Kluyveromyces lactis: one gene and its partner. The protein of the gene in region 2 purifies or fractionates together with the protein of the main gene of each other region. This does not show direct contact. Links are inferred from orthologs where the notes say so. Each region holds a gene or a part of one and is shown on either strand. Other genes may lie near its edges.

Region 1 (3,500 bases), about 1.3 Mb from region 2:
CTGTTTCGGCTGGTTTATCTTGCTGAACGATTGGTCCCTCATCTTTTGAAGGAGTAGCAAGTTTAGGGGCAGATTCTTGAATATAACTACCGACACCATTATTGATGTACTCTTGTTTTACAGTCTTCGAAAGATTATCATCATTTTGTTTACTTTTGTCATTACCGTTACTTTCAATCGAATTGGATGCCATTTCCGATAGTTTGACACGTGATTCGTCCTCTTCTAAATCCATCTTTTCGGTCTCAGCGTCTGATGAGATGTATATGTCCGATAGAGAGACTGAGTTTGGATGTTCTGGAGAAGTGACCTTAGATAATCCACTGGTACTGTTATCGTCGTATTCTAATGTACCAACCTTTGAGGGACTCCCTGATTTCGATTTCCTTGAATAACTATTTGCGTTAAAATTAACAGAATCAGAATCCGAAGCAATCTTCTCTAAAACTTCTTTGGTAAGTTTCGTAGTGGGGGCAGATCTGGTATTATGATCGTCAATCTCACTCGCAGCCTCTACACTGTTATTTTTGTTTCTCTCTGGCTCCATTTGAATGATTCAAAGATAGTACCGTTTGAATTCAAAAAGAAAGAAATCCCAACGCATATAACCAATACAACCTTTGTATTACTCCAATCGGCTGATGGCAAAGAAAAAACACTTAGCTTATACTCCAATGCAGAAACACACAAAATTTAACCAGCAAACCGTTTAATATGCGCAGTATAAGTTAAGAATTGCTGCTTGAATAGATTGAAAGTTGATACCTGACACACTAAAACAAAGGGCTGCAAATATACCTTACTTCGCGTAATTCTTATTTTTACTAGCAAAACAGTTATCTCTCTCTATTCTTAGTAGTACACAATATTTTAAATCACGTTTGGATGAGATCTATGTATTGATTGCTGACTGGCCATAACTATATGTTCATGCTAAAATCAGACTGTATTTTTATTCTTAACTTATATTTCGGCATTTCAGCACTATTTACAGTTTGTACGTTTTTTAAGGAAAAGGAACATGATGTTACCCGGCCATATAGTACATTCCACGGTGTTAATCACGTGACTACGATACATTCGATTTGTCCATAGAGCGTACGCTTTTCTTCCGCATTTCTTTTTGGTGGTAAATTCATGATTTCTGCTGGCTTTTCTAGGAAGTGCAGGTTTTTCACTTTCGATAATTCAACAGACAAATGGATAAAGCTCATCGCATCGAAGAGACTTGGACAGCCACCAGCAGGTTTAGTGCAGAGGAATAACGTTTGTGTTGGTGAACCAGGGTCTTTCAAACATAACAAACCAAAATTATATTACGGGATGTCCGCATTGAACAATTTATTTGGAAATTCCAAATCAGACGCGGCAGGTACATCATCGATTGCAGCGTTATTCTCCAAACCTAATCATGTCGATGAGCGTAAAGTAAAGTCGAAAGCTAGGACTGTGCTAACTGAGCCTGAACAGGATAAGGATGAACAAGAAGAAGAGAATGTCCAGGAAAGTGCTTCTACTGTCTCCGAAGGAGTAGAGAAAGAACAGGAAGAACAGGAAGAACAGCCGAAGAAGAAAAAGAAGAAGACCAAGAAGAATGATGAAGAGAATGATAATTTGGAAGTTCAATATTATTCTAAGGTATTAGGTGATTCTAAATCTAAAGATGAACCTAAGGATGAACCTAAGGACGACTCTTCCGATAGTGATAATGAAGATGAAGCAACTGCAGTCGATAAGTCTTCGATTACCGGCACGGAATCTGAATCTGCTAAAGTTATCAATTTGAAAGAAAAGGAACTAGCCAAGGCTGAGAGAACAATTTTTATTGGGAATGTACCAAATGAGGTTATCACATCAAAGAAAGTTTACAAAGAATTTAAGAAACTTCTCTCCAAGGATCCCCGTAGCGAGAATGATGACCACGATGACGGAGAAGAAGACGAAGAAGAAGAAGAAAGTAAGACAAAAGATGTTAAGTTTAATGTGGAAAGTATCAGATTCAGATCCATTGCATTCGAAGAAGCATTGCCAAGAAAAGTTGCATTTGTTCATCAAAAGCTTCACAAATCTAGAGATTCGATCAACGCATATGCCGTATATGGGAGCTCCAATCCGGTCAAGATTATGTGCCAATATCTGAACGGTAAAGTGTTCAACGACCATCATTTGAGAGTGGATTCGGTTACACACCCCTCCCCACATGATAAGAGAAGATCAGTCTTCGTGGGTAATTTGGATTTTGAAGAAGTGGAAGAAAGTCTCTGGAAGCACTTTGAACCTTGTGGTGACATTGAATATGTTCGTATTATTCGTGATTCAAAGACGAACATGGGTAAAGGTTTCGCATACGTTCAATTTAAGGACTTCCAATCAGTGAGTAAAGCGTTACTACTACATGAAAAGAAGATCCATGAAGGTAAGAAGGCCAGAAAGCTAAGAATTTCTAGATGCAAGAATATGAGAAAGGCCCAAGGAAACCAATCTTCCCTACAAAATAATAAATTAAACGACCAACAAAGGACAAAACTGGGAAGAGCTAAGAAGGTGTTAGGTAAGGCTGATAGGGCTAAGCTAGGTGAAGAGTTGACAATTGAGGGTTTAAGAGCTTCAAAGGGAGAAACCACCCCTGTACTAAAAAGAACAAAGAACAGATCAAAGACAGGAAGAGTTACTAAGCGTTCGATAGCTTTTAAGAAACAAAATGCTCAATAATGGAGCACAACCTTAACAATTATAGTATAGTGTACATATGGATAAATAATCCAACTTTTCAATAAGACAGACACTTGTTGTATCTCCGATTTGGCTTGCAATTGGTCTTGGTGCTTCAACTGGGGAATTACTGTCAATTATTGTTCCGGGTAATCTCTTTTGTCCTATTAATTCTTTGACTATTCGATATTTTATGCTATATACCGGAGAACCTTAAATGTGATTCGTTGGCATAAGAGACAGCTCGTGTTAAAAATAAGTGGCATTTCGTAACCTAACGCAGCCAACACCTATGCGAAGCTTAATGTTAGGCGTATTATCTACAGAGAAAGAGGGACGATAGATATAAAAAAATGAATGGTTTGAAGGTCGAATATGAAATCGATAAATTAATAGAGATTGTGGATGAGAGAGACAGGTTAATGGATGTCCTTCACATGCAACCATCTAAAAATGATAACATAAAACTTAAGAAACATATAAACCATACACTTGATTTGCTCAAAGATTATGAAGATGATGTACCCTTTTCTGAAGATGATAGATTTAATCATCAGATTAAAACTTATAATGATATCATTGAAGGCTTGCCAGAAACAGTCATTGACAAGGAACTCTATAGATTCAAAAGAAAGCCTAATCTGAGAGAAACAAAGAAGGTACGGTTTAAAGACGGATTAGTTGAAGAGCATAAAGAACCCGAACAGAAGTTTAAACCATATAAAGATGATGAGTCTTCATCTACAGTTGTAGATGATTTATTGGAGGTCAAGAGAAAGGAATTATTT
Region 2 (3,589 bases):
ATCCCAGTATGCTGTTGTTGTATTAAATCTAACTTAGATTTTAACAGGGCAATTTGACCATTGACACTTTGACACTTGCTATTACACACTGCGTCGCATAAAACGTTCCAATCAGTTTGTAAAGTGTCTACTCTGCTTTGGAATGTATGAATTATTCGTTCAATATTCTGTGGCATCTCATTTGATTCTCGGCGTCTTCGCAATGCAATCAAAACTTGAAAATACTAATTGATTCAGATGTAAATAATAGTGTATATACTAAACTACGAATAAGCACGAATAACAGAGGTGATGATGTGAAAGTTTGTGAAATCTGTGGTTTATATAATATTTGACATATGTTTAATATAGTAATTAAATCTTTTTGTGACACTTTTATTTTTCGTTTTTCCTTTTCCTTCACTGACTGCATGGACGCACCAGTCCACACAGAAAAACCAGCAAACCTAAATGTGGCACATCAGAAAAGTTGTTCGAGCGGCGATGGGTTTGCACCATCCAAACAATACTAGGAATAACGTTTTCCTGCTGGTTCGAAAACGCACTGAATTTAACTACTGTTATTCTTTTATGAATTGCAAAGTATCGATGCTATCTGGAAAATTTGAGTACAGATTAAATACATTTTGTAGGGAAAACTATCATTGTAGGAGCGGTGACAGCCGTTAAATCTATGCTAAATGGGTAAGTTTTAAGACGATATTTGTGAAGGATAGAAATTAAGAAAGAGGAATGAAAAAAAACGCGATACTCCTGTACCTCTAATTTTTTACGTTTTTATTCTTTGTCTTTTGTCTTTTAGCGCTGGATTTTTGTTCTTTCGTTTGCTCTTTCTTTTGTTCTTCTTGCTCTTCTTCTGCCTCGACCTCTTCCAAGTTTCTTTTGGCTTGCTTAATTTGCGTAGCAAACAAGGAGTCTAGTTCGTCTGGATTTGCAATTTCTAACAAAGATTTCTCAAATTGTGATAGTTGCAATTCGACACCATCAATTTCTATGACATTTTGAACGGAAGTCTTAGCATCATGTCTGGACCCAACCAATTTGTCTAATACTTCCAAATTAACGTATAATGGAAGGACTGGTGATTCGTTAGATTTGAGAAGAATGGTTCTGATATTGTACTTTTCGATGAACTGTTTAGCGACAGAAATGATATTTTCAGTCAATTGTTCTGGGGTGAACCATTCCAATGAACCTAGATGAACATTCATCGTGTTACCTCTTGGAAGTTTGACTGGGATTTTAGTATCATAAATTCTCTTGATGCTATTTACCAAAGTTGTCTTGTTAAACTTGTTATCCGATCTTGTGTTAATGGCAATTGGAGTGGTATTCAACTTACTGTATGCTTTACCACCTAATAGCTTGGGCAAAGCTGTCACTATCGAGTCATCAGCTAGAATGAAAGAAAAATCCTGTACAAATGCACGCCTCTTTTCAAAAGCCTTGTATTTTGTCTTCAAATCTTTACCAGATATGATGGCATCAATAGTAATATGTTCTGGAAGTAGATCGATCAAGTCTTCTGATGTCACTGAATTGATATCAGAATCTTTTAGAATCAAAAGAGTCTTGAAATCTTTAACCATGGTGGTGCTAGCTTCCTTCCATGGCTTGAAGATAGAATGAGGAACTGTAATTAGTTTTGGTTTGAAGTTTTTCAAAGAACCAGTAAAAGATTCAGTGTTGACTAGGATCAACTGTAGCTGAGCCTCCAATTCAGAATCATCAATTAACTGATTGTCATTTGATCCATTTTCCTTCAAATATTCTTGCAATTTAATAACAGCATTGTTAACTCTGTTAACTGGAATGACTTCTTCCTCTTTACTGCCCTTAGTAGCCTTGGTGGCTTTGGTCGAAACCTTGCTTTTCTTAGTTTTAGTTGCCATATTATCTAAACTTTGATATTGCTTATAATGTGCTTGTAGATATACTAGACTGGATGAGTGGAGTTATTTCCTCTATATTCTGGATTCTTTCCAAGCGTTTTTTAACTTACTTGATTCGCACTGTCTCAGAAAAAGATCAACAAATTGTTGGTTCACCTAGGTAAGCTTACTTCTCGAGTTCGTACTGGCAACTATGAAATATCCAGTATATATCTAATCAATCCTTTGAGCTGAGAAATAAGAATAGGTACTTAAATACTTTACATACCATTACTTTATTAATCGTGTTAGGTGTGCAACATACTTCGAGATGAGATGAGATGAGCTATGATGAGATGAGCTCTCTATTGTCAAAAATAAAAATTTTCTGTTTCGCAGGAGCTCCACTGTGTTCACGTAGTTAGTAAATATTGCTTTTTGAAAGCGAAGGCCGTAATATATGATTTGAAACTTTTCTTGAAATTTGATAACATTTGACACTTAAGAAATAAAGAGTAACCGAATCTGATATTGAATCTCGGTGCGTGTTTGTGCAAAAGTTACTAATGAGCAACGGGCTACGTTCAGTGAATGGGGTTACAATACAAAAGGGCTTAAACTGTGTATTTTAGGGTTTCTTTCTCTGGTTTATTTCGGAACAGTACTATTTTTGAGTTAGGTTTTTTCGGCTGTCAAACAGGACTCACGATCGATATAAAGGATACCTTAACAGAGAATACGCCGCACGAATCTGATTTATGAGTTATTAAGTTGCTATTATTATTATTATTATTATTATATCGTAAACATAGTCATCGTCCCCGTTCATTTATACTGCAAAAGGCATATTAGCATATATTAATCAAATCTAGCCGCAGGGGTAAGCATACGCTCTCACAAGACAAATAAGAAGAGCATTAGACATGGGTAAGAGAAAGAAGTCATCCAGAGGTCCAGCCAAGAAGATAGTACAGAGGTTAGATACGGCATTCAATTGTCTCTTCTGTAATCACGAACGCTCTGTGAGCGTAACAATGGACAAAAAGAATAACATTGGCTCGCTTCATTGTAAGATTTGTGGACAATCGTTCCAAACCCGCATTAATGGTCTATCACAACCGGTAGATGTATATAGTGACTGGTTTGATGCGGTTGAGGAAGTTAACGAAGGGAAACATAGCGAATCTGAAGATGAAAACAGTGACAGTGACTACGAGAGTGACTCTGATACTGAGCCTTCTTCAAACCGTAGAAAAGCTGTTGGAATAGATTCTGACGAAGAAGAAGAAGAAGAACAAGAAGAAGACGAAGATGCGGATTACGGAAGAAAAGGAGCGACCGAACGAAAAGACTCAGAACCAGAATCAGACTCAGACGATGACGGTAAAATATCTAACAAAAGAGGAAGAGCAGCATGGATGGACAGTGATGACGAGTAGTCGAACCGACAGAAACACAGACATCGAACACCAATATTAATCTTACAATTGTATCTATCTATCTATATATTACCCAGAGATATACTAGTAGAACGAATAAAATCAGGTATAAAGGAGCTGATATTTACGTTCAAAGAGATTGCTGGATCTTATCTGTTTCCTATAAGAATTTATATAACGCTCACCTTGGCTTTAACCATCGGTTGATAGTATTCAGTTTGTACTGCAGAAGAATTTATATATCAATTCTACATCAATAATAGTATCTTTGGTATATCG

The links. Proteins that work in one complex are often made in the same cells at the same time.
Region 1: the proteins of CIC1 (region 2) and NOP12 purify together in Saccharomyces cerevisiae (affinity purification with mass spectrometry, with the first as the bait; 3 studies listed by BioGRID). This does not show direct contact. The link is inferred for Kluyveromyces lactis from reciprocal best matches to the Saccharomyces cerevisiae genes CIC1 and NOP12.

What each region holds. Positions count from the first base shown.
Region 1 is NC_006042.1:734,101-737,600, reverse strand, and holds NOP12 (rRNA-processing protein NOP12), read left to right. Parts: upstream 1-1,323; coding exon 1,324-2,712; downstream 2,713-3,500. Other genes in the region: Rpd3L histone deacetylase complex subunit DEP1, read right to left, coding at 1-547; SYN8 (syntaxin), read left to right, coding at 3,066-3,500.
Region 2 is NC_006042.1:2,032,374-2,035,962, forward strand, and holds CIC1 (Cic1p), read right to left. Parts: upstream 1,893-3,589; coding exon 762-1,892; downstream 1-761. Other genes in the region: KLLA0_F21824g (transcription activator GCR1-like domain-containing protein), read right to left, coding at 1-176; ELF1 (Elf1p), read left to right, coding at 2,795-3,310. UniProt on the Saccharomyces cerevisiae protein: An adapter protein that specifically links the 26S proteasome to its substrate CDC4 which is one of the substrate recognition subunits of the SCF E3 ubiquitin ligase complex. Required for turnover of cell cycle regulatory proteins CDC4 and GRR1.